3 linked regions of the Stegostoma tigrinum genome follow. The protein of the gene in region 1 interacts with the protein of each later gene in a biochemical or structural test. Links are inferred from orthologs where the notes say so. Each region holds a gene or a part of one and is shown on either strand. Other genes may lie near its edges. The genes, in order: claspin, casein kinase I-like and usp20.

Evidence for each region.
Region 2: of the proteins of claspin (region 1) and casein kinase I-like, one has a biochemical effect on the other in vitro, tested with the Homo sapiens proteins (2 studies listed by BioGRID). The link is inferred for Stegostoma tigrinum from reciprocal best matches to the Homo sapiens genes CLSPN and CSNK1G1.
Region 3: of the proteins of claspin (region 1) and usp20, one has a biochemical effect on the other in vitro, tested with the Homo sapiens proteins (2 studies listed by BioGRID, with this or other methods). The link is inferred for Stegostoma tigrinum from reciprocal best matches to the Homo sapiens genes CLSPN and USP20.

The regions. Positions count from the first base shown.
Region 1 is NC_081377.1:22,637,601-22,647,626, reverse strand, and holds the start of claspin, read left to right. Parts: upstream 1-5,583; 5' UTR 5,584-5,779; coding exon 5,780-5,812; intron 5,813-9,152; coding exon 9,153-9,261; intron 9,262-10,026.
Region 2 is NC_081389.1:5,501,064-5,511,226, forward strand, and holds the start of casein kinase I-like, read left to right. Parts: upstream 1-5,599; 5' UTR 5,600-5,735; intron 5,736-10,163.
Region 3 is NC_081382.1:39,293,484-39,304,053, reverse strand, and holds the start of usp20 (ubiquitin carboxyl-terminal hydrolase 20), read left to right. Parts: upstream 1-5,755; 5' UTR 5,756-5,886; intron 5,887-8,921; 5' UTR 8,922-8,938; coding exon 8,939-9,019; intron 9,020-10,570. Other genes in the region: c29h9orf78 (splicing factor C9orf78 homolog), read right to left, coding at 1,438-1,517.

The sequences.
Region 1 (10,026 bases):
ACCTCTCCTGCCCTCATTATCTGCTGCACTCATGCATTTTCAACTTTGGTTGAGAAGTGCTAAAATACGGCCCACTTCCAGAAGATATTTCATAATCAGTATCGTACAATTTTTTAAAAAAGGGTTTTGACAGTTCTAAATCAGAAATGCAAGAAGTAATGTATGATTTTTACACATAGAAATAGCTTATCGGTTAATTGTACAGCTGCGTCGTTGACTAATAATCCAAGTTATTGAAAAGAAAACGTCCACTTCCGGTCTTAGCTCAGCTGGTTCTAAATAAAATTAGTTTATATAATTTTAATCCAGTTCTTAATGGGAAAGAGACCACATCATAGAAATCCTAGGATGTGGTAGAACTTATCCAGATCAAAATTGTCAGTTTGAATACAGTACTTTAAAGAAATTATATGCTGATGCTGTGGGGAGGAGATGGGCTTCCAAGTTTCAGTTTTAAGCCACATAGCTAAGGCAGAATTTCAGTATCTAACCACCTTTACATCGTACTGAATGAAAATCAGACGAATTTGGACAAGAATAGAAAAATCTAAAAAAAGCTTAAATTGGAATTGGCAGTAAGACTCTTTAACTTCATTTAGAATTGGATCCATTAAAGTACCATTTTGACATCTCATTTTCTGTGCAACGGTTTCACAGCTGGTAGATCTGTTTTTTGTTTCCCTGCATAGATAAGATATCCTTTCCATCCACTGACCCCCAAAAATGATTTGAACTAATGCTTATGCCTTTCATTATCTTTTGCAACTTCATCTTGGAGCACTGACTGTCCTGCATAACAGTCTGCAATGGCACAAAGTGTCCAATCCAGTGGTGGAAAAAATGGATTTGTAAAGGGCAGCAATATTACAGTTTGCAGCAGAAATGCCGTTGCTGTATGTCTTTCCTGGGCTACTGAGAAAATGTTTCCAGAAGGAGCAAAAATGGCTAGATATGTGATTTGAAACATTTGCTTGCTCAATTTGGAAATTGATGTCTGGAAATCAGTGGCAGTGAAACTCAGATATGATATTTGTAGGTTTTTGCCCTTTTTTTTAATTTTAAAGGGTCTTTCGTGTACATATGTCATGACTCTGTTGCACTGACGTCCACACTTGACCTCACTCTGTGTTTGTAGTGGGGCAAAGGTGTTATTCCTTTAGGTCCATTTCTGGTGTTCCATTGATGAACTTTATTTTAAACATTTTGGAATCTTTTTATGTGATTAGGTAGTATATATGTGTCGATCTGTCTTTTCTTTTACATTATTATAAGACTTGAGTAAAGTATTTTCAATCTAAATTGTCTAAATGTCATTTCTAATTCATCTAAACAGAAAATAAGTCTGAAACTATTATTTAAATGTTGAACGTAAAGTTCAGTAAAAGAACATGTACACTGCTTCTGTTGAAGAACATTGTCGAGAAAAACAAAACTGAAAGTAATTTCCTCATGTTACAGCTTATTTTACTACATTTTTGTGCTTTCACAAATTAAATTATTGCTGGCATAAAATCTATAATCTGTTAATTGGCTGAGAGAAGCAGATGGTTTTTTTTTAAATGAGGGAATCAAGGGTTAAAGGGAAAAGATAGGAAAGTGGAGTTGAGGTTTATCAAATCAGCCACAATCTGTTGATGGACCAAATGGCACAGTGCTGCTTCTCATGTTGTGGTCTGAAATAATCCACTGCAGTGGCACAGTGGCTTGGTGGTTTGTAGGAAGTGGGAGGAATCAAAAGAGACGTTGTTGAGGGTGAGGATGAGTAACTTCTTCCGATTTCTCCCACTTCCTACAGACAAAGGGGGTGGCCATGGGTACCCGCATGGGCCCGAGCTATGCCTGCCTCTTTGTAGGTTACGTGGAACAGTCCCTCTTCCGCACCTACACTGGCCCCGAACCCCACCTCTTCCTCTGTTACATTGACAACTGTATCGGCGCCGCCTCTTGCTCCCAAGAGGAGCTCGAACAGTTCATCCACTTCACCAACACCTTCCACCCCAACCTCCAAGTTCACCTGCATCTCCAACACATCCCTCACCTTCCTGGACCTCTCTGTCTCCATCTCAGGCAACCAGCTAGAAACTGATGTCCATTTCAAGCCCACTGACTCCCACAGCTACCTAGAATACACCTCCTCCAACCCACCCTCCTGCAAAAGTTCCATCCCCTATTCCCAATTCCTTTGCCTCCGCCGCATCTGCTCCCAGGATGAGGCATTCCACTTCCGCACATCCCAGATGTCCGCGTTCTTCAAGGACCACAACATCCCCCCTGCAGTTGTCGAGAACACCCTCGACCGTGTCTCCCACATTTCCCGCAACACATCCCTCACACCTCGCCCCCGCAATAACAGCCTAAAGAGAATCCCCATTATCCTCGCATACCACCCCACCAACCTCCGGATACAATGCATCATCCTCCGACACTTCCGCCATCTACAATCCGAGCCCACCACCCAAGACATTTTTCCATCCCCACCCTTGTCTGCCTTCTGGAGAGACCACTCTCTCCGCGACTCCCTTATCCGCTCCACACTGACCTCCAACTCACTCGGCACCTTCCCCTGCAACCGCAGGAAGTGCTACACTTGCCCCCACACCACCTCCCTCACCCCCATCCGAGGCCCCAAGATGACTTTCCATATCAAGCAGATGTTCACCTGCACATCTGCCAATGTGGTATACTGTATCCACTGTACTCGTTGTGGCTACCTCTACATTGGGGAAACCAAGCGGAGGCTTGGGGACCGCTTTGCAGAACACCTCTGCTCGGTTCGCAATAAACAACTGCACCTCCTAGTCATGAACCATTTTAACTCCCCCTCCCATTCTTTAGATGACATGTCCATCCTGGGCCTCCTGCAGTGCCACAATGATGCCACCCGAAGGTTGCAGGAACAGCAACTCATATTCCGCTTGGGAACCCTGCATCCCAATGGTATCAATGTGGACTTAACAAGATTCAAAATCTCCCTCCCCCCACTGCATCCCAAAACTAGCCCAGCTCATCCCCGCCTCCCTAACCTGTTCTTCCTCTCACCTATCCCCTCCTCCCACCTCAAGCCGCACCTCAATTTCCCACCTACTAACCTCATCCCGCCTCCTTGATCTGTCTGTCCTCCCCGGACTGACCTATCCATCCTCTATCCATCTTCGGTCCGCCTCCCCCTCCCTATTTATTTCAGAACCCCCTCCCCATCCCCCTCTCTGATGAAGGGTCTAGGCCCGAAATGTCAGCTTTTGTGCTCCTGAGATGCTGCTTGGCCTGCTGTGTTCATCCAGCTTCACACTTTGTTATCTTGGATTCTCCAGCATCTGCAGTTCCCATTATCTCTATTTGAACTATCTCCCAGTTTTCTTCACGTGCTTGTTTTGTCCCTTATCTTCACCCGTGCTATGCACTTTCACTACCAACTGTGGTAGTGGTTCTTTTTTATGGCTTTTCAGCTGCGAAGATTTCTTTTTTTCTGTTCTGAATTCACCATTGGATTTCTTGGTGACCGTCTTCTATTTGTGGCCTATGTAGTTATGCTCTGCCCTGCAGCCTCCTGAAAGAGAGGGTGAAGCAGAACTGATAATATTATTGCTGTACCAGAAAAAGTGAGGGGGACAGTTTGCTTTATTGTGTACCTATGTAATTCCTGTGTTATACTTGTGAATTTTTTGTGCCCTTAAAGCATTTCCACTTTAACAGATAATTTTAATCAATCTGTGTCTGATCTGTCATGACACACCTCTGCAGCAGATAGCACTTGAACACGTGCCTCCTGGCTCAAAAGTAAAAATTCTACTACTACATCACAAGAGACCTCGTTTCCGGTTACCACATAGAAATGGAGAAATGTTTGAAGTACTGAACGTGGTCTAGTGCAGGTTTAGCTTATGTAACTTCGTTACTTGCCAGTTTTAGTTTTCAGATAAAGCTTGGTGCTTGTATTTTTACAAAGATATTTGTTAAATGTTGGTGTAACTATTTCAATGTGTTTCTATTACACTATTAGTGTAACGCTGTTTGGATGTGCAAACTTTCTAATGTACACTATAGTGATTTTTCTGTAGTAATTTCCCTATAGCACGTGGGTGCACAAGAACTCAATTATTGTGTTACAGGGGAACTGCCTATAATTGTGCTTTGTGAGGGGGAAGACACTGATTTTACATGTTTTCTAATCTACCTGTTCAGAGATAGGAGTATAAAAACTGGAGGTCATTTAGCCCTTCCGGCCTGTTCTGATTGTGGCCACAGATCAGCCAGTAAACCTGCCTTTGGCCTATATCCCTCAATACTTTTGCTTGATCAAAAGTTACTGAAGTTTAATTTAGATAAATGTGAGGTGGTGCATTTTGGAAAGGCAAATCAGGGCAGGGTGTGTACACTTAAGGGTAAGATCCTGGGATGTATTGCTGAACAAAGGGACCTTAGAGTGCTGGTTAACAGGTCCCTGAAAGTGGAATCGTAGATAGATAAGTTAGTGAAGAGGGTGTTTGGTATACTTGCCTTTATTGGTCAGTGCTTTGAGAATATGAGTTGGGAGGTCATGTTGTGACTGCACAGGACATTGGTTACGCCACTGTTGGAATGCTGCTTGCAATTCTGGTTTTCCTACATTGGAAGGATGGTGTGAAATTTGAAACAGTTTGGGGTTGGAGGGTTTGAGGCTGAGGAGAGTGGGACTATTTTCTCTGGACCATCAGAGGCAGAGGGGTGTTGGCCTTTATAAACGTTTCTAAAATCATGATGGGCATGGATAGGATAAATAGACAATGTCTTTTCTCCAGGATGGGGGAGTCCAAAACTAGAGGGCATAGGTTTAAGATGAAAGGAGAAAGAGTTAGAAGGGATCGGGATAACCTTTTCACACAGAGGGTGGTGTGAGTGCCGACCAAAATGCCAGAGGAAGTGGTGGAGACTGGTACAATGTTTAAAAGGCACCTGGATGGGTAAATAATTAGGCAGCATTTAGAGGGATATGGTCCAAATGCTGGCAAATAGGACTAGATTTATTTAGGATATCTGGTCGGCAAGGACGTATTAGACTGAAGTGTCTGTTTGTGTTCTCTGAGTCTTTGTGGAAGAGAATTCTGAACTGCTGTGTAGGTGCTTGCTGCATGTCTCTTGAACGGTCCAGCCCAAATTTTGACATTATGGTTGCGAGTTCGAGAATCTCTATATCTTGGCTCAACTCTGGATGAAGTGGGATTTAAACCTAGGCCTCTTGGCTTAGAGGTGTAGACACCGTCACAGCATTACAACAGCAAAGCTATTTCGGTTTTGTGGGAATAGAATTACCTGCAAGTCGATCAACAAATCTATTTCAAATTTACCGCTGCAGCACAAGAGGAGAAAGACGCACCAATGACGGGCGCCAGGTTCCATCCTGGACATGTCAATCATTTGTGGGAACGGGCGGGGTCTGGTGACATCACAAGAGCGGGCGGGGTTTCGATACGCCTCGACACTGAAGGGGCCGGCTCGCCTCCAGAGTCGGAAACAATACAGAGCGAGAGGGCGGAGTATTGTGCGGGGCCCGTCACCAATCGGGAGTGGAGGGATGGCACTCTGCTGATGGAGCATGCGCTGAGCGGCTGGGCGCGAAGGCCGAAACCGTGAGAGTTTGTTAGTCGGAGGCAGAGCTTTCCCGGGCTGGAGCCGTTTGGTTTTAAAGGTCGTGATGAAGTTATTTTAATTGGAACGCTCGGAGCTGCTGAAGTCACACGGCCCTTTTCGACCTGACGCCTTTTCTTCCTCGAGTGTTTTGTTTTCCGTTAATTACTCCGCGATGTCAGTATCCGAACTACAGCCGTGCACGGAGGTAGGAGCAAAATGGAGGGAGGGTCTGCTGGGCCGGCCCCGGCTTGGCGCGCTGGCTGGAAGGGAGGCCCCTCTGCTGTCGGTCTCCGCTCCTGAGACCTACTGGGGATTGTACCCGCAGTCCACTCTTCTCGGTATTTTTGTCTGGCGAATCATCCTGTGCCTTCTGAAATAAAACAACAGCGTTGTGACTGTTGGCACTTTCAGACTTGTCAGCTGATTGTTCTTTTTAATCTCTCTGGGTTTAAATATGTCAGTTTCTATAATTAAAAGCCTTTCATATTTTAATGACGGCCTGTCTTTCGTACTCGATCATTGCAGATTTGTCTTATTTTCCAGCTGTCTGTTGTAGATTGTGAATTTATATTTTTTGGCGGGTGTTGTTTTAGGTTCGCTAAGACGATCCTTACAATGGGAGTTGGTAGTTGGCGGTTTCCTATTGATAATTTGGGTGCAGCATGCATTCACTTTCTACCTTAAATTTTCCCTCCCCTGTTTAATCACCGCCCAAAATTGTAGGCGCTACTTATGCTGCTCACTTTTTTTACCTAGTTCTTCTGTTGCACAACTTTTAAGCAATTAACTTTTATGAATTTGCAGTTTTAAGTTTCATTGTTTTGTACATCTTTTCGCAACTTGTGGAAGACTGCCATATACCTTTATGACTGCTTTGCAGTCGTGAGGCGACGTAAGGAAAAGCTTAGTAAGGTGAAATATAGTAGTGGCTGTGAAGGGATTAAGCTTACTTGTTTTTAACTTTTTGGGCAGTCACGCAGTTCCATACATTATTTTTCTCGTTAAATGAGCACGTAGTGTATTCCGTTTAGAACAGTGAGAGGTGAAATGATCCAAACTGTTTGGTAGTTCTGTGTGTGGCTAATTATCAAACCAGGTCATTCCTTGTCATTGGGCTAATAAACGCAACCCAAGCACTTGATATAATTTGGCTTTGATCTTCAGAGTCAGATCTTCAGGGTTCCAGCTTCGGTCCACTAGATTGGAATCTGGAATATGATATGCTAGCTTTTAGGCTAAATCGTGCAATGATCCAATGTAACGTGAATATTGAGTAAGAGGATAGGCAAACTTATTTGGGGTCTAGTTTAACTTAATATTTTGAGCTGGAATTTTTGGTGGCCTTTAGGGATTTTGGATCAAGTATTTAGTGAAACCAATGTATAAACAACATCTGCAATTCTGTTTGCAATCCCAATGTAGTTCTTTGCGAACAGGATGAAAAGCTTTGTTTAACTTTGGAAACACACACATAGCATTGTATTTGCATTGTAAGTTCCCACACAAGTATCAGATGCATCATCAATATCAGTTTTATCACACTAGTGTGTTTACAGCAATTAATCATTGAATTCAAATCAGCAATGCTAGCATTAAAGTGCTTTGCTGTTTGTTAGCTGAGAAATATTGGACTGAATGGTAAAGCAGTGTCTTGACATCCAGTATGATACTAACATTTCAGCAGCTATTCAGTTTTTGAGGTACTTGTTCCATGTTCTAGAAATCCATCCTGTGTTGTAGCTGCTTCCTCATTTGTCTCTTTGCTAGACGGTGATGGGTGCACCTAGAGAACGAAAGACATTTCATGAACTTGAGGTTATTTGGTTCTGTACATATTCTGAATCATTTACTTGCTGAAATGTAGAAAATGAAGTTTATATCTGTGCATGTTGGTGCAAAATCAACTTTAACTGTTCGTTATTGCAACATAAGCAGTTCGAAATGACCAAATTGTAAATGTATCAGCAAGTTCATTCATGTCATGGCTGCCACAAATAAGAAGCACAAACCATCACAAATCTTAGTTTGGCAATGGAATCCCTTTTGCTGTAAAATGCTATGAAGATGTAATTGAATACAAATAAAATATTAATCAACTTAGTTCTAACATAGCATTTCCGAGTATTTGGCTTGTAAAATGAACTAAAGCCAGAAGAGCGATTTAGAAAAGTAAGCAATAGATATCAAATTATTACGAAATGCTTCACTGAAATATTCTGCCATAGAGGTCAGCAGACTGTGCTTTCTAACTCAGTGAATTCAATGTGTCCAATTAATATCGAGTACATCAGAATTTCTGCGAAGGTTGTTGAAAGCAGTGAAAACGTTTGTGCTCACTTTCAGAGATACTTGCATGTCTTTAATTCTTTTGATTTCATGTAGTATCAAAGTAGAGAGTGTATGATTTACCCAGGTTTTACCTTGATACCTAATTCTTTCATGGGTTTCATTGTCAAGGCCAATGTTTGTTGCCTGCCTAGTTCCACCACCTGGCTTGCTTGGCCATCTCAGAAGGGAATTTAGAATCTACCAAGACACTCTGGATTTTTGTCACGGCCAGTACCAGATATGGGTGAAAAATTTCCTTCCTCAAGAAAATGCCCAAAAGGATATTAGTAAACTGAGGGGTTTTACAGAAAACAACCACAGGTTCATGAGAGGAGCTTTAGTTCTAGATTTCATTTGTTGAATTTAAATTCCTAACCTATCCTGGTGTGGTTTTAACTCAGTAGCCAGGCTTCTGGATTCTGGTTCAGTGACATTGCCACTATCTCCCACTTCAAACACTTTTTTCACCTGTATATTCAGCAAGGTATTTGAATGAGTTTGTTAAAAGGACACCAGAGCATTGGTGATGGTGTAGCAAAGATGTATGTCAATAATGCTGGTGTTGAGTTTATAACTAGCAAAGGCTCAATTATCTGGAACTTTTTGAGGAAAGACTGAGTGATGAAGTACTGTAAAATGATAAAGGGGTTTGATAAGATGGGTGCAGCATATGTTTTTCCAGTTTTTGGATATTCAAAAGGGTCAAAGTGCTTGATCATCTCTTAAATTTACGGCAAACTTCTTAACCTAAAGTGTGTTTGGAATGTGAAACTTGCTACATCGTTGAGCAGTCAAAACAAATAAATATGCATTTTAAGGGAATGCTAAGAAAAACCACATGAGGGAGAAAGAAATCAAAGGCTATGCTAGCAATAATAAATCAAGTTGGGTGGGAGGATGCTCAAGTAGAGCGTAAACTTTGACATGAACTGGTATCGCCAAGAAAGTTGTTTCTGACATGTAAGTCCTGTGAGATTTATTTGATTAATCTGTTTGAAGACTCCCTTGTATTTTTCAAATGTTTATGATCATCTTCAGGTGGAGGAAGTCTTTTTGCTTGAAATTGTGTTCAAAGAAGAATGCAACGGTTGTTACACGTTCTGTGTCTAACTTTCTCTCTTTGTGTGCTCACTTTGTAATCCATTTCTGTCGTATTCTAATTTTTCACCGAATGAGCTGTGACCAAAGTAGGCTCTGATTTTGTACTTTATTTCCAGTTAACATTTGGTGAAGAAAAAACAAATGACAGTGATAACGACAGTGGCAAGGGAAGTTATGGAATGGTCTCCCCACGTTCAAACAAAGACATGTGCCATGATGGTGGAGGTTTGTGTTCTATCATGTGTAATTTGTTTCAGCTTGCAAAGTTATTAGTTATTAATTCTCTATCATCAAATCCATTGTTTGTTCTGTGGAGTACTTTGTTACACATTTTCTCTAAGTGTGACAAATGTGAATATTTCAGATGTTAATGCTTCAGTGATCTAAGTTATCTGCTTTTACGTTAAAATTAGACTAGGATAAATTTGGGATCCATCAAAACTAGACAGAATAAATTGAGAGAAAATCAACTTTCAGGGTAAGGTAGCAAGGAACATAAAAACTGACAATAAGAGTTTCTTTTGTATATAAAAAGGAGACGTCAGTGATTCTTGGCCCCTTAGGAAATGAATTTGGGGGAATAGTTGTGCAGAATAAGCAAATAGCTGTAGAGTTAAACAAATAATTTGCCTCAGTCTTTATAAAAGATACTTCAAACATCCCATGAATTCGGGTGAAGAATTAAATACCATCACCAGCAACGTAGTATTCGACAAGCTAATAGGGCTGAAGGCACAAGTCCCCTGGCCCTGTTGCCGTGCATCCAAAGATCCTAAGAGTTTGCATAGATAGTGGATGCTTTGGTTCTAATTTTCTAAAATTCCTTGGATTCTGGGTAAGGACTGGAGGGTTAGAAAACAGCCAATATGACACTCCTATTCAATAAGTGGGGAGGCAAAAAGCACATAACTAAAAACAAATTAGTCTAACATCTATTGTTGGAAAATTGTTGAAATCAATTATTAAGGAGTAATTGCAGCAAATTTGGAA
Region 2 (10,163 bases), on another chromosome or scaffold:
GGAGTCACGGAGAGAGTGGTCTCTCCAGAAAGCAGACAAGTGTGGGGATGGAAAAATGTCTTTGGTGGTGGGGTCAGATTGCAGGTGGCAGAAGTGTTGGAGGATGATGCGTTGGATTGGGAGGTTGGTGGGGTGGTACATGAGGATGAGGGGGATTCTGTTTTGGTTGTTTTTGCGGGGACGGGGTGTGAGGGATGAGTTGCGGGAATTGTGGGAGACACGGTCAAGGGCGTTCTTGATCACTTTGGGGGGGATGTTGCAGTCCTTGAAAACGAGGTCATCTGAGATGCGCGGGAGTGGAATGCCTCATCCTGGGAGCAGATGTGGCGGAGGCGAAGGAATTGGGGACAGGGGATGGCATTTTTGCATCTGACAGCACCGCTAAACCTGGTACCAGGCTAGTGAACCTTTGTTGCACTCCCTCAACGGCAAGCATATGTCCTCGTACATAATGAGATCAAAGGTGATCATAATACTCTAGGGGTGTGGTATCACCACGTCACTGTATGACCATAGTAAAACATTCCTATTCTTGAATTAAAATCCTTTTACAATGAATGTTAATTTATCATTTGTCTTTCTAACTGCTTGCTGCTCCTGCCCCATTAACTCTGACTGACTGGTGTATCAGGATGTCCAGGTCCCTTTGTACATCTGCACTTCCCATTCTATCTCCCTTTAAATAATACTCTTCCTTCTATTTTTCACATTGGAAGACCATTTCCTTTAATACTCTGGAATGCAAATTGTCAGGCCCACAGCATCTGTTAACCCTTAACCCCATTTTGTTTCCTTATAATTCATGGGATGAGGGCATCACTGGCCAGGCCAGCATTTATTACCCATCCCTAATTGCCCAGAGGGCAGTCAAGGGTCAACCACATTACTGTGGATCTGGAGTTACATGTAGGCCAGATGGCAGTTTCCTTCCCTACATTAGTGAACCAGATGGGTTTTTCCAACAATCGACAATGGGTTCACGGTCATCATTAGATTCTTAATTCCAAATATTTATTGAATTAAAATTCCACCAACTTCTGTGGCGGGATTTGAACCTGGGTCCCCAGAACATTATCTGGGTCACTGGATAATACTTCTAGATCATTGCCTCCCCTATTAATTTCAATAATTCCCTTTAAGGTGCCTAATCAATCCCACTTCTCCTTTTACCACTGTTTTCCTATTTATTTGCTTATAGAAGACTTTTGCATTCCATTTTATGTTAAAACACAAGAATATAAGAAGTAGGCATTCGGCCCATCGGGCTGGCTCCGCTGATCTCATCTTGTCCTCAACCCCACTTTCCTGCCTGATCCCCCTTAACCTTTAACGCCATTACTAATTAAACATGTCTTTCTTTTCCTGAGATTTATTCATTACTCCAACTTCTACCATCGCTGGGGTATTGAATTCTACACATTTATGATGTTTAGAGAGAAGTAGCTGCCCGTCTCTTACACTTTTTCCTCGCTTCCCTTACTTCTATTTTCACTTCCCTTCTAAACCTTCCATTATTCAATCTGGTTCTCATCTGCATTATCTACAAGTATCCAGCAAATGCATCCTTTGACATCTTCTAGGTTTGAAATATGTCCAGAACTTTGATTATTCTTTTGAATTGCAATGCAGATTTTTATTTGGCTGTTCCAAAGTCTTGACAGATGACAGTCTACTATCTACAATGCTATAGTATATTCTACATCAGAGGATGTATTGGTACTATTGTTCAGTATCATGTGAATTCTTGGATGTCTTTCAATAAATTCTATACAGCAGGGATTTGGTTGCAGCTATCAATGGGAAGATGAGTTTGTTTATTTTGACAGGTTTATAAATTGTTTCGAGGACAATTTTTTAAAAAGTAAGTAGCGTGTTTATTTTGATAGATTTATGAGCTTCTCAAAGATATCCCAACATCATTACACAGCCTTTGAATCCCGTTCATATTGGAGTGGGTTATGGAGAGTAAGAATGCTGTGGTAGCTGCAGGATTGCCAATGTACTCATCCTCAGAGCTGGGCCAATGCATGGGCAAATGTAGGCTGGCCTTTTAACCTGGCTACCTTGGTAGTAGTTGTCTCCAATTCCATCTCTGTCCTGACTCAAACTTCCCTGTGGCAATAGCACGGTTGAACACTGCCAGTCAAAAGCCTAGACAATGTAGTTGGTCATCCTACTCTTCCTCCTGTGGGAAGAATGCACCTATTTACCGTACCTTAACAATACCCTGTTTAAAACTGGCTATTGTTCTGTTAGCATTGTGCCAGCCAATCTTTGGTTTCAATTTGCCTGGGCCAGATCCATTCTCACCATACGAAATTTGATCTATTGTGACTAAGGAAACCTCCTTTAGTTTTATTCTTGATTGGTATGTGGATTGTTGCCCATCCCTAGTTGCCTTTGAATGGCTTGGCCCTCTGGGCCATTTCAGGGGACAGTTAAGAGTCACTTACATTGCTGTGGGTCTGAAATCACACGTAAGCATGGCTAGATAAGGATGCTGGAATTTTCTCCCTAAAGGATATTTTCTTTCATTGACCAAAACCTTATGATATTATGATCACTCTTCCCTACACATTCTCTTACTGACAACACCACCTAGTCCATTTCGTTTTCTAGAACTAATCCAATAATGTTTTCTTTTTCATTGACATATTGTTGTAGAAAATTATCCTGAAAACACTTGTCCCTCTCCATCCTTGACACTGTTAGATCTCAAACTGTGTTAGGACAACTGAAGTCTCCTATTAATAGTACTCAATGATTATTGCACTTCACTGTAATTTCCTTGCAGATGTGTTCCTCTACAAGTTTTTCACTATGGGCGGTTTTTTGAACACACCCAGCAGTATATCAATGCCTGTAATGTTTCTTAGCTCTTCTCAAACAGATTCTGTCTTTGGCCATAGCAGTACGTCTCTTAATCCATTAACCCAGAATTCCTTCGTCAGTACTCCCACCCTCCACCCTCTCCTTTCTTGCCTTCCCTACAATTCCTGAATGATATCTACTGAGGAATATTTCATACCAGGTCATTAGTCGCACAGTCTTGCCCTTCTTCCAGCCAGAACTCTATTATTGCCACAGTGCAAATATCCTATGTTGCTATCTGCATCTGCAGTCCAACAATCTTATTTACTGCATTTTGTGTGTCATATCTGCAGGGTAAAACTAATTTAAACCTGATTACCTTCCCTCTTATTCTGATCCCATCGAATACTATACAATTTCGTACTCTCATACTTACTGTTTTTCTCTATAGACCTAGGTTTTCCTTTCAAATATTACATCCTGATTCTCACACACCTGTCACAGCAAGTATCCTCTGGGACATTGGTCCTGACAGTTTAGGTGCAATCCAACCAGGCTGCATAGCATTCATCTCCCCAGAATTAGCCCCAATGTTGCAAGAAATCAAAGCTCTCTCATCTTCATTATCACTACAGATTTAGCTGCTCCATCTCTTCTATGCTATACTCATGGACGTGTGGCTGGGGGATACCTATTGACATACTGTTTGCGTGTGATAATGGGAACTGCAGGTGCTGGAGAATCCAAGATAATAAAATGTGAGGCTGGATGAACACAGCAGGCCCAACAGCATCTCAGGAGCACAAAAGCTGACGTTTCGGGCCTAGACCCTTCAAGGCCTGCTGTGTTCATCCAGCCTCACATTTTATTATCTGACATCCTGTTTGCTGCTTCTTTCCTAGGTTCCTAAACTCTGTTGGGTCAGGATAATTCTATATTTTTTCATCGAACCTGGGTGCCATGAGCAAGGTCAGCATTTGTTGCCCATCCCTCACTGGTCTTGAATTGATTATCACTCCCAGCCATTTTAGAAAGCAGTTATGAATCGACCACATTGCTGTGGGTCAGGAGTCATAAGTAGGCCACACCAGATCAGATCAGCAGATTTCCTTCCCTAAAGGACATTGGTAAATTGGATGGCTTTTTATGATGATCAAACATGCTAGCCATCTGCTTTAGTGGAAATTAAAAAAAAAATTCTCAGGATGGGGCAGTTGAGGCCTAGCCATCATTTATTGCCTATCCCTAGTTTCCCTTGAGAAGTTAGTGATGAGCTGCCTTCTTGAACTGCTGCATTCTACCTGCTGTGGGTTAATTCAGAAAGCTGTTAGGAAGGGGATCCCAGGATTTTCACCCAGTGGCAGAGAAGGAATGGTGATATATTTCCAGATCAGAACGGTGAGTGGCTTGGAAGAGGACCTGCAGGTGATGATGATGTTTTCGTGTATCTAGAGCACTTGTACTTCTACTTGGCAGTGGTCATGACTTTGGCAATCATCAGTCAGGCTGGTGCTTGGCAAGCGTCTGAGACAGCTCTCCTAATTTTGGCACCCACCTCTCTATGTTAGCGAGGACGACTTTGCAGGGTCGACAGGTCTGTTTTGCCTGTCTCTGTTCTGGTTCCTAGGTTGATAGCCTGTCCAGTTTCATTTCTTTGAGGTTTTGTAATGATTGATACAGCTGAGTACAAGGATCTGAATCCTTGTCCTAGAAGCATAAGACCATAACATACAGAAGCAGCGGTAGACCATTTGGCCCAAATTCTTAACTTTTGAAAAATTGTTATTAAATATGCAATCTGCTTCATCATCTAATGAGATCATGGCTGACCTAATTGTTCTCAACTCCAATTTCCAGCCTTTTCCCCATAATGCTTGATTTCTTAATGATTATGAAACAATAAGATGTTGAACAATTGCCTGGGCTAATGGATGACTGGTGTAGTTAGATAACAGCACCTCACCATATTGAAATATCAATGTATGAGGCGGAAAGTCATGTAAATAGAGTGGGATACAGATCAGGTTTTGTCTATTTACATGATGGAATAAGCCCCAAGAGGTTGTCTCTGTTTATGGTGTGAATGACGAAAGCTCGCTACTTTTGGATGACAGGATGATGATGTATCTTTGGGGAATGCAGAGATGGGGGAAGATGGCGGTGTCAAGTATATCAGAAGGAGGAAGTTGTAGGGAGTTGGTATGGTGGCTCAGTGGTTAGCATTGCTGCCTCAGGGACCCAGGTTTGATTCCAATCTCGCAGTGAGTGTCTGTGTGCTGAGTTTGCACGTTCTCCCTGTGTCTGTGAGGGTTTCCTCCCACAGTCCAAAGATGTGCAGATTGGGTGGATGGGCCCTGCTAAATTGCCCATAGTATCGGGGTTGTGTAAGCTCGGTGGATTAGACATGGAAATGCAGGGTTATGGGAAAGGGTAGGGAGATGGGTCTAGGTAGGATGCTCTTCAGAGGGGCAGCGTGGACTTACTGGGCCGACTTGTTCCCACACTATAGGAATTCTATCTGTCTATGAAAAGCAATTCCGGCTCCTGGCAGGCAGGATGCCTTGGAAGGAAGTCACTAGACTCACTGCATATTTAGTAATAATTTTTCATTCATATTAATTCAGTGGGATGGAAATACAGAGCTTGACACCCAGGTGACCCATTGGCTCCAATACCAACCACAAGGCCTCTATGGGGCCATGTGCCGACCCGTGACGTCACGGCGCCGCCACCCCTCCCAACCCAAGGCACACTGACCCGGAAGCAGTTGCTGCGAGGCTGCTTTTCCGGTTTTGCTCCTGGAGCTTTCCCTTGTCTTCCGGAGGAGGAGGAGAGAGAGGAAAAAAGAATTCCAGAAAACAATCCCAGAGAAAAGCCCGGGACGCGGGACAGAAACGGCGGTACCGAACAGAGCCAGACGCGCAGTAAGTGCCCCGGAAGCCGGGGGGTGGGTGTGAGGGAGATCCGAGGGGCGCGGGAGCAGGAGCAGGAGCGATAACGGAGGCAAGAGAATAGGGAGTGAGGAGATAGTGAGGGAGAGTATGAGGAGGAGGAGGAGGAGGAGGAATAGGAGAAGGAGTGTGGAGAGAAAGAGGGGGACGAGACAGAGCGTGAGTACAGGGATGGGGAGTGAGGAGGTGGAGAGTATAGGGAGGGGTGAGGGGATGGCAAGAGTATGGGCAGGTTAGGGAGTGCTGGGGTAGAGGGAGTACTGGGGTAGGCGGGGAGGACGGGAGTGCTGGGGAGGTGGCGAGGGAGTACTGGGGTAGGTGGGGGGGTGGCGAGGGAGCACTAGGGGGTAGGTGGGGGGGTGGCGAGGGAGCACTAGGGGGTAGGTGGGGGGGTGGCGAGGGAGCACTAGGGGGTAGGTGGGGGGGTGGCGAGGGAGCACTAGGGGGTAGGTGGGGGGGTGGCGAGGGAGCACTAGGGGGTAGGTGGGGGGGTGGCGAGGGAGCACTAGGGGGTAGGTGGGGGGGTGGCGAGGGAGCACTAGGGGGTAGGTGGGGGGGTGGCGAGGGAGCACTAGGGGGTAGGTGGGTGGGTGGCGAGGGAGCACTAGGGGGTGGGTGGCGAGGGAGCACTAGGGGGTGGGTGGCGAGGGAGCACTAGGGGGTGGGTGGCGAGGGAGCACTAGGGGGTGGGTGGCGAGGGAGCACTAGGGGGTGGGTGGCGAGGGAGCACTAGGGGGTGGGTGGCGAGGGAGCACTAGGGGGTGGGTGGCGAGGGAGCACTAGGGGGTGGGTGGCGAGGGAGCACTAGGGGGTGGGTGGCGAGGGAGCACTAGGGGGTGGGTGGCGAGGGAGCACTAGGGGGTGGGTGGCGAGGGAGCACTAGGGGGTGGGTGGCGAGGGAGCACTAGGGGGTGGGTGGCGAGGGAGCACTAGGGGGTGGGTGGCGAGGGAGCACTAGGGGGTGGGTGGCGAGGGAGCACTAGGGGGTGGGTGGCGAGGGAGCACTAGGGGGTGGGTGGCGAGGGAGCACTAGGGGGTGGGTGGCGAGGGAGCACTAGGGGGTGGGTGGCGAGGGAGCACTAGGGGGTGGGTGGCGAGGGAGCACTAGGGGGTGGGTGGCGAGGGAGCACTAGGGGGTGGGTGGCGAGGGAGCACTAGGGGGTGGGTGGCGAGGGAGCACTAGGGGGTGGGTGGCGAGGGAGCACTAGGGGGTGGGTGGCGAGGGAGCACTAGGGGGTGGGTGGCGAGGGAGCACTAGGGGGTGGGTGGCGAGGGAGCACTAGGGGGTGGGTGGCGAGGGAGCACTAGGGGGTGGGTGGCGAGGGAGCACTAGGGGGTGGGTGGCGAGGGAGCACTAGGGGGTGGGTGGCGAGGGAGCACTAGGGGGTGGGTGGCGAGGGAGCACTAGGGGGTGGGTGGCGAGGGAGCACTAGGGGGTGGGTGGCGAGGGAGCACTAGGGGGTGGGTGGCGAGGGAGCACTAGGGGGTGGGTGGCGAGGGAGCACTAGGGGGTGGGTGGCGAGGGAGCACTAGGGGGTGGGTGGCGAGGGAGCACTAGGGGGTGGGTGGCGAGGGAGCACTAGGGGGTGGGTGGCGAGGGAGCACTAGGGGGTGGGTGGCGAGGGAGCACTAGGGGGTGGGTGGCGAGGGAGCACTAGGGGGTGGGTGGCGAGGGAGCACAAGGGGGTGGGTGGCGAGGGAGCACTAGGGGGTGGGTGGCGAGGGAGCACTAGGGGGTGGGTGGCGAGGGAGCACTAGGGGGTGGGTGGCGAGGGAGCACTAGGGGGTGGGTGGCGAGGGAGCACTAGGGGGTGGGTGGCGAGGGAGCACTAGGGGGTGGGTGGCGAGGGAGCACTAGGGGGTGGGTGGCGAGGGAGCACTAGGGGGTGGGTGGCGAGGGAGCACTAGGGGGTGGGTGGCGAGGGAGCACTAGGGGGTGGGTGGCGAGGGAGCACTAGGGGGTGGGTGGCGAGGGAGCACTAGGGGGTGGGTGGCGAGGGAGCACTAGGGGGTGGGTGGCGAGGGAGCACTAGGGGGTGGGTGGCGAGGGAGCACTAGGGGGTGGGTGGCGAGGGAGCACTAGGGGGTGGGTGGCGAGGGAGCACTAGGGGGTGGGTGGCGAGGGAGCACTAGGGGGTGGGTGGCGAGGGAGCACTAGGGGGTGGGTGGCGAGGGAGCACTAGGGGGTGGGTGGCGAGGGAGCACTAGGGGGTGGGTGGCGAGGGAGCACTAGGGGGTGGGTGGCGAGGGAGCACTAGGGGGTGGGTGGCGAGGGAGCACTAGGGGGTGGGTGGCGAGGGAGCACTAGGGGGTGGGTGGCGAGGGAGCACTAGGGGGTGGGTGGCGAGGGAGCACTAGGGGGTGGGTGGCGAGGGAGCACTAGGGGGTGGGTGGCGAGGGAGCACTAGGGGGTGGGTGGCGAGGGAGCACTAGGGGGGGGGTGGCGAGGGAGCACTAGGGGGGGGTGGCGAGGGAGCACTAGGGGGGGGGTGGCGAGGGAGCACTAGGGGGGGGGTGGCGAGGGAGCACTAGGGGGGGGGTGGCGAGGGAGCACTAGGGGGTGGGTGGCGAGGGAGCACTAGGGGGTAGGTGGGGGGGTGGCGAGGGAGCACTAGGGGGTAGGTGGGGGGAAGGGAGCACTAGGGGGGTGGTGGGGGGAAGGGAGCATGGGGAGGGGCGTGGGGGTGAGGGAGGGAGCCCTGGGGGAGTGCAGGGAGGGGAGTAAGAGCACTGGGTGGAGGCGAGTAAGAGCACTGGGTGGAGGGGGAGGGGCAAGTACTGGGGGGAGGGTTACCTGGGGGAGTAAGGGGGTGTGATGGGAGTGGGGTGTGCATGACTGGATGGGGAGGGATGAATGCGACTATGGGGGTGGAATAAGTGAGGAAGGGGTGGGGGGGGTTGATGCAGGGGAGGGGTTTATGCAGTGGATGATACGGGGGGAGCGGAGAAGGAGAATATGTGGATTGTTGAGAGGAATAGGTGGAATGTTGCAGACTGGCTTCTGAGGGCCAACACCGGGGACAGTTACAGAAGTATTGTGAGGAAATGGGGGAGGTGATATGGACAGAAGAGGAAGAATGGTTGTGTTTTCATGTTTTCTGTTCTGTTAAACTGTTGAAATTAGTATGTTTGAATTTGAAGTAAATTTTAGATAGAAAACTCTGGTTTGCAAATATGAAGAAAGTAATGTGTTAAGGTTGGGAATGAGGGATTCAAAAGAGTTGGCAGTGTAGAGGCATAAAGATAAAAGCTGGCCTGGGTAGGTTGGGTGAGTCAGTGGTAATGGACTGAAGCAGGGTGAAGACTGGCAGTATAGATGATGGAAAAATTGACTCAGATCAGAGCCAAATATTGACTGCCAAATGTGGGAGCAGGTGGCATGCTGGTTGAGAAAGGGGGAGCGTGGGACTAGGAATGGAACGAGGTTCAAAATACAAGTTGAACGATTGAGTCAGGGATGAATTACAGTCAGCAGAAATAAACAGGAGTGGTGATTCAGCTTGGTTTTGGATATCTTGTTACAGTTTTTCTCCCAGAATTGCTGCTTCAGAAACTTAATCTCTTTTTAAGCTGATGTTTAAAGCTGCAAATTGGGAAATGGAGGAAAATGTTGACTGGCTGTCACTCCTCTTGCCTGCCTTACCTGTTGTTTATTCCCTGTTTCTCTTGTGGCTTCATGTAGAAATTTTGATGTGCAACAGAGTACTAAGCAGGACCGAAAAGGAGAGAATAGAGTTAAGGTGCAAATCTGCCAGGATCAAAATAAATGGGTGAAGGTGAAGCACATGTCTGTATTAATATTTTGATCACTGATTCTGACAAGCTCCTTGGAAGTTCTGTTATTCTCTATCTGTGTGTCTGTCTGTCTGTCTGTGGTGCGGAGTGGTGCATTTGCTACATGAGAAGGCAGAGGAGTCCCTGGTAGCAGAAGGGCTGGCATTTTTCAGGTGCTGACTCTCAACCTGACAAAGCTCATCTTCCTGCTCTCTGCCGAAGGATGCGTTTTTTTTTGTTCCCCCAGCCTTGCCTCAATGCAAAGCGAAGCCATTATGTTAAAAGTATTTGAGATGGCCGGTTTATGGGGAAGCTAAATACACAGACACGAGAGAATGTGATCCAAGATTCTGTTGATAGACTGTGATGAAAAGTGGAAGCAGGAGACTGATGTGGAGCATAACACCAGCATGGACAAGTGGGGCCAAATGGTCCCTGGTATTGCAAAGTGTGTGCAGTTTTGTCAGATGGAAAGTGTAGGTGTGAGTTAAGAGGCAAGCGGGGAAGTGTCTTTATACGGGGTGGTTTGTATGTGGAATGAACTGCCAGAGAAAGCGGTGGATGCGGATACAGTTACAACATTTAGATGTTTGTAAAAGTGTATGAATAGGAAACGTTTAGAGGGAT
Region 3 (10,570 bases), on another chromosome or scaffold:
ATGTGGAGAGGATATTGCCCTTAGAGAAAAGATGAAAACTTGTTTAAAAAACAAAGGCTCTCCTACTTTTGAGACGACATTTGTTTTCACTCAGAGACTAGTTAGTCTGTGGAGTTCTTTTCGCCAGAGAGCAGTGGAGGCTGGGTCATTGAATATTTTTTAAGCCAGAAATAGAAGATTCTTGATTAATAAGACAGTATTAGCTACAAAGGAAAGTGGAGTAGAGGACGCAATCTTATCAAATGGCACAGCAGGCTGGAGGGGCCCTATTAATCAACTTCTGGCTCTGAATTAATCTGTTTTGACGAAAGCCTCGGCAACTGTGGCTATTTTCAATCTTCACAGAGTTAAAGGCATTTTTTGAGGACGAAGACTGAATTATGTATTGAACATGAGGCAGCCACCAAACTGTATGCATTCACTCAGAGGATGTTTTAGACTTCAGCAGTCAGCTATGGTCCAGAGCATAGGGTGGAGCTTGAATGTTATACTAAGGGACGGCCTGACTGTTGGACGTGTTGTTTCTCTGTTGAGACAAGAAACACCATGTGCCTGCTTGGGTAGATGTCAAATGATAGAATCCCCGCAGTGCAAGCAGAGGTCATCAGATCTGCACCAACCCTCTAAACAGCAACTCCTACTTTATCCCCATAATCCCACATTTACCATGGCTAACCCAACTAGCCTGCACAACCGTGGACTCCACAAGGAACTTCACCAATCCACCTAACCTGTACATTTTTGGACTGGACTAATATCCAATGGCCGCTATTTTGAAGAGCAAGGAAGCTCCTCCATTGTAAGAGCAAAGCAAGTGCTGGAAATTGAAGATAAAAACTGAAAATCAAAGCATAGAAAAATGGGTGGTGTGGAATATTCAGCTCATCAAACTCACTCTGCCAGTCAGCACAATCCTCCGGCTGATGCTCTATCTCAAATGCAAAACTATCCGAAATTCAGCAGATAAACAGTGACTAACTGGCAGACTGAACATGTCTGGAACACATATTGGAAACGTTCTGGGTATACTGAGCAGGTCAGACAGCATCCGTGGTTAGATAAAACGAGCTGACGTTTCAAGTCAAATATGGCTCTGATATCAGACTTAAAATGTTACTCCAGTTCTCTCTCTCTCTCTCTCCATAGATGCTGCCAGATCTGTTGACTATTCCCCGGGTTCTGGGTCGATATTTATCCTTCAATCAACATAGTTTGTTATCGTCACATTCGTGTGGGAGTTTGCTGGGCACAATCTTGATGCTGCGTTTCCTGCAGTACAAATAGCGCCACGTAAAGACAAAGACTGTCCTCTCCAGAAGCTTGAACCCTTAAAGCAGTTAACAGTTCAGAAATGGATTGAAGAACCTCGCCGGCTGGGCTATTCTTTGGGGCTGAGGGCAAGAGGCCTAGCTGGACCACTGAAGCCTCGGCTCTCACCTGACCTCCACCACCCTCTGCTCATCCTCCTCATCCGACTCTTCCTCTCTCCTCCTGCGGTAGCTCTTCCCCGCCGGCATTCCGGGGCCCAGTGCAACCTTCTTTTAGCTCAAACACAGTTTCTTTTCAAAACCCCGTTACTCACTAAACCACACCGACTTTCGCGGCAGACTGACAACGGAGGTCGGACCGAGGAACTTCCGGTTCAACGGACAGGTTCCGGCGACTCCCGGACTCCATTTCCCACAGTGCAGCGGGCACGGCATCATGTGACCCAGTCCCGCAATGTTGCCATTCTCACAGTCTGTGCAGTACAGATACTCACGCCCCGCAGGGATACTCACGCCTTCTTCAATAACTCACCCGAAGAAGCAAAACACTGGATTCTCGAGAAAGTCAGCAGTTTCTGTGGAAAGAAAGAGGATGTTGATGTTTCAGGACCGTTGCGAAGGCGGCTCACAGGATCCAAAGTTTACTCCAGGTCTACACCTACTTATCTCCGCGGGCCTGTTGAGTTTCTTCAGCAATTTCTGTTTTTGTCAAATGCAATATCCTTGCTCTTATTTCTTTTTACAAAAAAAAAATGTGGAGCTGGAGGAACACAGCAGGTCAGGCAGCATCAGAGGAGCGAGAAAGTTGATGTATTTTTCTGAAGAAGGGTCCTGACCTGAAATGTCAATGTTCCTGCCTCTCTGATGTTTCCTGGCTTGCTGTGTACCTCCAGCTCAACACTGTCTAATCTCTGACTCCAGCATCGGCAGTTCTTACTATCTCCTATTTCTTGTGGTCTTTTGTCCCCAGCGTATATCTCCTTAACCTTTCATGTTGTAAAAAGATCAACCACAATCTGAACTCATCAGTTTATTGAAGTATTTGTGTAGAGAGAGAGATACTTAATTAATATTTTCTATATATAAAATAATGGGAGCAGGATTATTATGCTCGACCTCTCAAGCCTGTTCTGCCATTCAGTAGGATCGTGGTGTTCTGATTACATGCTTGCATACCACTGATAATCTCTCACCTACTTGCTTATCAAGAATTTAGCTCCCTCTGCTTTAAAGATAATCAAGGACTCTGCTTATACTGCCTTTTGAGGAAGATGGGACCATCTATGAGAACATGGGAGGAATGAGCGGTGAGGGATGTCCCCCAGTATCTGTGTCAGCGGCGGTGAGGAAACGCTGCTAGGGTCACCAGAGAACGAACTAAGTGGAGGAGATTGGGGCCCCAGCATGGCTAAGCGCTCAAGAAAGACAGTTGAAATTTTAAATATTTCTTTATTTTTCTACTTAATATTAAGAAGAACTTCAATGTTAACTATTACCTTATCTCTTTATTTTTCTCGAGGTGGTCTGTAATGTTGAACTTTTAACTTTGTTTCTCTCTATCACTTTGTACCTAGATACCAAGGTAACTTGGTGACATTTGACACTTTTCACTGTACTCCTGTACTTGAGTACATGTGACAATAAAAAAATGTAAATTTCTTTCTTTTTTTCAATGACTGACCTCTAGTTCTAGATTCTCCCACAAGAAGAAACATCTTTTCCACATCCACTCTGTCAAGATTCAACGCCCGCCCACATTCCCCCCAATGATTTGAGATCTTGGACTTTTTATTAGAATTAGGAAAAATAGTTATCCAGATCCTTATAGGTTTTCAGCGCTTTCACTTTAGCCCTCAGGATTAAATTTTCTGTCATTCAATTTCTCCCTGTTGCAACTCTATCACAGACCTTTTCTTTCATCCTCGTCCCACTGAAAAATATTGAGAAGACAGAATAAAATAAGAACATGCTGGAGAAACCCAGCAGGCCCGGCAGCATCTGTGGAAAGGAATAAACACAGTTAATGTTTTGAGTTTCTTTGGAACTGCAAGTTGTTGGAAAAGTGATGATTTTGGTAGTGTAGAAAAAGAGGGAATGGAACATAAGGGAAAGTCAGGGCATCTTGGAACAAGGGTGTACACCAGAGCCCAATAACGGAGACTGGTGCTTTAAGAGGCCAAGATAATAAAATGTGAGGCTGGATGAACACAGCAGGCCAAGCAGCATCTCAGGAGCACAAAAGCTGACGTTTCGGGCCTAGACCCTTCATCAGACTGTCTGATGAAGGGTCTAGGCCCGAAACGTCAGCTTTTGTGCTCCTGAGATGCTGCTTGGCCTGCTGTGTTCATCCAGCCTCACATTCTATTATCTTGGAATTCTCCAGCATTTGCAGTTCCCATTATCTCTTTAAGAGGCCAACCGTGCTTGGGTCAGGAGGTGGGACTTTTTGTGATCAGGTTGGGAGCCACGTTCCCAGGAGCAGCACCAGGTTTTGTGATTCCTGTCTCTTGGCCCTGGATCGGAGCAACGTACCACAGAACAAAGGACAAAGTGAGGAGTCGGGTTGTGAAGAAGAGTCACAGGTCTAAACTGGTGTTTTGGTTTGGAGCAGTGTAGATGTTAACCGTAGATATTATAGGGCTACAATTGTGGCCTATGCCACCAGTAGGTGGAGCACTAAATTTGGAGTCTTGGTTTTAACTCTCATCCAACAACATGCCTGTTTTATAAGTAAGACCTAAAGAAATTACATTTGGGAGGACAGGCTGGATAATTGTCAGCATACTGGAAATTGCAATTTTATAATGTACGGATCCTCTCCGTTTGAAGAGAACCATTGCACTTTGCTTCCATTTACCCAACTCTGATCTCCCTTAAGAGCTGTCTCTTGGTTTTACATGTACCCAATCTAAGCACTTTCCTTTCAATTTTATGGCAGAAGCCTCTTCAGCTTTTTATCAATGATTGCCTTAACATACAACAGAACAACAAAGATTAGATGTGGTTTGCAATTGTTTAAAATTTTTTTGGACATGCACATAGACTTGACACTGCTGCATGGTTTCACCAATGGTACGTCATGAGTGCAAGTGGACACGTGCAGATGGATCGCAAAGGCTGTTTTAAATGGCAGTACCCTATTTTCTGCATTTGAAAGAAATATTCAGAAGCAAAACGGGAAGTAAGACTGAGCACTAGAAACTGATATGTATTATGGCAATGTGCACTGATACCATTTGAGTTGCATTTTGTCGATTTGCCACCATAAATCCTTTTTATTGTTAAGGATCTATGTTACATATAAAAATAGAAAATAGCTGCAGGGGCAGGTCTTTTGATACCTTAGGGCTACTCTGCCAATCATTATAATCATGGCTGATCATCTAACTCAATAATCCGTTTTCACTTTTTCCCCATACCCTTCAATCCTTTCTCCCCCAAGTCCTATGTCCAATAGCTTCTTGAAATCATGTAATGTTTGGCCTGAACTGGTTTTTGTGGAATCACATTCCAAATCTTGTGGAAATTTCTGAAAATGGCTTTGCAAGCCATTTAGACAGAGCACAATTGGGAATGGGTAATAAATGCGTGTTTCAGAATGCCTGATGTGTGCCAGTGACATTCACCTGCTAAGAAAGAATAAAGGTGGAAAATAATGAAAAACGGAGAGTTCTTGAGAAAATTGGCAGGTCTAGCAGCATCTGTAGAGAGAAAGCAGAGCTAGCTCTCAAGACCTGTTACCCTTCTTCAGAGATAACCCTTCTGAAGGGTCTAGGCCCAAAACATCAGCTTTCCTGCTCCTTTGATGCTGCTTGGCCTGCTGTGCTCATCCAGCTCTACACCTTGTTACCTCAGATTCTCCAGCATCTGCAGTTCCTACTATCTCTGAAACCCTTCTTCAAAACAGACCCACCCCAAGCCGCACCTCCATCTCCTACCTACTAACCTCATCCCACCTCCTTCACCTGTCCGTCTTACCTGGACTGACCTATCCCCGCCCTACCTCCCCACCTATCTTCTTTTCTCTCCATCTTCAGTCCGCCTCTCCCTATTTATTCCAGAACCCTCACCCCATCCCCCTCTCTGATGAAGGGTCTAGGCCCGAAACGTCAGCTTTTGTGCTCCTGAGATGCTGCTGGGCCTGCTGTGTTCATCCACCCTCACATTTTATTATCTTCAAAACAGACTTTTGTTTTAATTAAAGTAAGAAGCTGATTGTTTTGCTAGCATAAACTTTTTGGGCTGAATGGCCTGGCCCATGAGTCCTGGACATTCCAGGGCGTGGCCACATAGCACATGCGCACTATCCGACCGCTCGGGGGTGTGTCCCAAATGACGCCACAGCAACCGAACGTCATCCGGGAAAGCGGGAGGCGCATCGGTACGAACTACATCTCCCAGAAGGCTCAGCGGCGGCCTATGGCGTTGGAGGTCGTCTTCCATCCGGGCCACCCGTCGGGAACTACATTCCCCAGAGTGCACGCCGTGGCCCTGGAGCTCCCCAAGATGGAGACGGTGCCGCTTATTCTCTGCTGAAGGAAAATATCTCGTGAGACGTAAGCGGGGGGAAGGGATCGGGAGAAGAAGCGGGACCCGCACCGGGACATTGTAGGCGCAGGTACGCCCCGTGTCTTCCTTGTGCGCACCCGGCTGCGGATTTTGAAACTCGGCGCAAATGTACGCAGCGGTGCTTTTGTGTCGCTTTGAGGTGTCGGCGCTGAATGGGGAGGGGGCGCGGCTGGGTTAGGCACTCAGTCTGGGGGGGTGGGGGTTACAGCATGAGAGCGGGTGGGCACAACTTTGAGTCTTGGGTAGGGGGCCCCGTTTGGGTCTTTGGGAAGGGGTAGGGGTAGGGGTGTCTTGTGGGGGCGTGTTTGTGTCTGGGGGAGATCTGCTTTGAGTCTCGGGCAGGCGTTTGTGGAGTAAGTTTCAGAATCGGGTTGAATTGCAGTTGTGAGTCTGGGTGTGAGAAGGAGGATTTGCTTCAGAGTGGGGGGGTGGTGGTAGGTGTGTCTGTGCGTGCCTCTTCATCAGCCCAATTCGCTATCACCGACTTTTTAATGTGTATTTTCATCTGAATGTTCAGGTGTTTTGTTATTAAAGCCTAAAGTATCAAAGGCAATGTACACTGACTGCTGGGAATAAGCAGCTCAAGCAGTATTTTTGGCAAGAGGGAAAAAAACGTGATGGATTTCATCAGGCATTGATGTTTGCTTTGCTCCTTCCACCAATGCGAACAGAGCTGCATAATATTTTCTAGCATTTTACTTATTTGATGTTAAAATTAAAATGCGCAGCCAGTTCCGCTATCTGTGTAGCAGATTTGATGTTGAGATGGAGAAGCTGCTGACAGACAGAACCATTGGTCCCTCGCTGAGCCCATTGGCAACCTAGGTGGGGTTTGTGCAGGTTTTAACTTTTATCTGGTTTGAAGAGAATTGTTTCATGTTTAGCATTAGTCGTGTTCCACACCAATTAATTTTCAACTACTTCATCAATGACCTTCCCTCTGTCAAGAAATGAGGATGTTTGCTGATGGGTGATGCAATGTCTTCAGACACTGAAGAAGCCAGTATCTAACATTTTGAGCCTAGATGACTGTGTATCAGAGCTGATATGAATTTTGAACTGACCCACTGTGATTTCAGCACTTCCTGTTTTCAGTACAGATTCCAGCATCTACAGTAATTTTGCTCCTATGAGCCTGTACCTATTTGTTGCAAGATTTGGACAACATCCAGGCTTGGGATAATAAGTGACATTTGTTGCTGTTTAAGTCCCAGATGACGACCAATTTCAAGCAGATTGCATCTATGCATCACTCCTTGATGTTCAACGGCATTATCATCACCGAATCCCTCTATCAGTATCCTGAGGCTGACATTGACTAAAACTAAATTGGATCAGCCATCTAGATACTGTGACTGTAAGAGCAGAATAAAAGCTGGGAAATTTGTAATGACTAACTCCCCAGTGCCTGACCACCATCTGAAAGTCTCAAGCCAAGATTGTAATGAAGTAATTTCCACTTGTCTCAGTGAAAGCAGTCTCAATGACGTTCAAGGCATTTAACACCACTAATGATGTTGAAGTTGACTTGTTTGATACCCCATTGGCTACTGATACATTGGCAGCAGTAGCTACCATCGTAAGATGCACTGCAGCAATTCACCATCTCCTCTGGCACCTTTCAGGCCAGTGACCACTTTCACAACACTGGAGTGTGCTTGCATCATATGGACTGCATTGATTTAAGACCACCTTGTCAAGACAAATTTGGAGTTGAGCTATAGACGCTAGTTTCACCAGTGATACTCTTATCCTATGAATTAATTAAAAAGAAAGTCATAATGGCTACACAGTGGGAACAACTGAATTTGCTTGTAATTCCGCAAAGATTAAGTAATTGGGATTTGCTGAGTGTCAAGATTAACACATCAATAAATGTTGTCTGAACTGTGAGTCGAACAAGGAATTGTAATCCAAATAAGAATTGGGGCGTGTGATTGAGTGGAGAAAGGAAAGCACCTTTCTAATCATTATCGTATAATACAACACTCATTATCAGAGATGCTGTATTCTGAAGCAAGATATAATGCAATATTTTTTTGATAAGCGAAATTAAAAACTGAAATAACTGTGGATGCTGGAAATCAGAAATAAAAACAAGTTGCTGGAAAAGCTCAGCAGGTCTGACAGCATTTGCAGAGAAATCGGAGTTAATTTATTGGGTCCAGTGACCCTTCTTCAGAACCTTCTAAGATAAGCAGTCTGTTTCACCTCATTCTAATTTTTGTTATTTAGGAATCTTGCTGTGTAATGTTGTACTTTGCAGTTGTCTTTCAAGTGGAAATATTTTCAATTTACTTGCAATTTAAATGGCAATATCATCGAAATTTACAGACTTTTGTTTGGAAAGACATCACAATATAGAGTTGGTGTCACACTTGCTACATGGATTCTGGGAAATTAGAGATTCCAGCAGAGGACTAACAGGACATTTTTTTTTGAGTTAAGGATGTTGCCAGGATTGGAGAGCTTGAGTTAGAAGCTGGGATTTTTTTTTTTCGCTGAACCACAGCAGGTTGAGAGATGACCTGGTAGAGGCTTTTAAAATCATGAGACATTGATAAGGCGAATGGGAAAGGCCCTTTTCCCTAGGGTAGGGGAATTCAAAACTAGAGGGTATAACCTTAAGGTGAGAGGACAAAGATTTAAAAGGGACCCATGGACAAGTTGGACCAAAAGGTCAGTTTCTGTGCTGTTTGACTCTATCAGGATGTATTTTGTATTCCAAACCTTTTGTCTGACTATTCTAATTTTTTAATATATTATTATGTTGAATAAGCTTGCTGATGTTAAAGGCAAAATGTGCTGGAGAACTTGAGCTGGTCTGGCAGAATCTGGAGAGAGAAACAGAATTAATGCTTCAGTTCCACTATGACTCTTCTTTGGAGCAATTGGATACAAAATGTTAACTGTCAACAAATGTTGCCAGACCTGTTGAGTATCTCTGGCACATTGTTTTTATATCATATCTCCAGCATCCGTAGTATTTTGCTTTTAAATTAGAGACAGATTAATTTACATCTGCGCCTAATGGCAATAATGGGGCAGTCTGTTTGATCTTAATAGCTGTAATTTTTATTACAGTGCTGAAGTTTGGGAAGATGTCTGATACTACTGATATCTGCCCTCATCTGGATTCAGTAGGAGAAATCACTAAAGAGGAGCTGTTACAGAAATCAAAGGTAAAAGGAGTGCTACTATCGGGTAAATGCCTATGAAGTACAGAAAGTCCGAAATGCTGTTGAAGCATTTTATAGTCATTGCCGGAACTAAATTCTTGCGCTACCATGTTAGCAATAACAGTACAGGCAGTGTGGCCATTGATGATGTTCCTGTCGTGTCTCATTCTTGGCTTAGTGTAGTACTTTATTGTCTGTCTCAGGAGACTTTGAATTTAAGATCCACTCCGACAATAAGCGCTTATCTTGGCTGACATGTCACTGCAGAGCTGAGAAAGTGCTGCTTTTTTTTTCTCCCCAAGTTGTTCATGGTATGTGGACATCACTAGCTAGGCCAGCATTTCATTGCCCATCCCTAATTGCCCCGGAGAAACTGGTGGTTAGTTCCCACCAGAACCTCATTTCCATAGTAAGTAGGAGCACCCACAGTGCTTATTTTATGGGGGGACCTCAGGTATTTTGGCCCAGCAACACTGAAGGAGTTGCAATAGATTTCCAAGTCAGGATGGTGTGTGGCTTGGCAGGGACCTTGCAGGGTCATGGTGCTTCCACATATTTCCTGTCTTTGTCCTTCTAAGCAGTAGGGATCATGGATTTGGAAGATGATGTCTAAGACATGGTGTTTGCTGAATCTATGTGGCATCCATCCCAGTTTTAGAAGAACCCTAAATGTTGGTAAGGAAGGCTTTGCAGCATCAACCGACTCTCTTTGCCATTGTTGAGACTAAGTGGGCCATCTGGTTTCATTCCTTTCTGTCAAATTGATATCCTGTGGATGAGATGTTAACCTAACCTATCTGGTCTAAAACTCCCCAATTCGTACCCAATGAACAACAGGAATAAAATAGAAATGTATGGTGTAAAGAATACATAAATCAGCAAATCTGATTTCCAGAGCATCATGTTATTCTCATCTATATTTAAATAATTCAAATTCTAGTTATTAATCACGAAATCAGTGTCCTTGATATTTTGCCCCATGTGCTGCACACACCCCATTTTTATAAATTAACAAAATCCTCTGGCATATCATTAACAACGTCATGTGGGGTCTACAAAAATAATGAGAAATGCAGGCAATATAAGATGAACTACCCTGCTGGAAATTTCTTTTAATGGGCAAATTTAAGACCTCACTTATCCCATCGATAAATGTAAAGTGACAAAGGCAAAATATTCCAGATCTTGGTTAGCTGAAATAAGAGCAGAAAATGCTGGGAACACGTTACAAGTCAGGCAACCTGTGTTGAATGAGTAAGCTTTCTAATGTTTCAGAATGAGGGAAAAGTTATAAATGGTTTAGGTATTGGACTGTGGGATGGAGAACTAGAGAGCTGTGATAGAGTAAGAGGACAGGAGAGATGAAATGACCAAAGGTTTCATGCTGCAAGGCCTGCAAGTGATAATGGGATGAATTTTCAAAAAAATGCCTCGAGGAGGCAGGACTTCTAAGTCCTGAATTGCTGCCATCTGAAAAGAGTGAAGGAAATGTAAGAGAAACAAGAGGAAGGAAACAAAACTGCAAAGAAAAACCAAGCAAAGTGGGATTGAAAA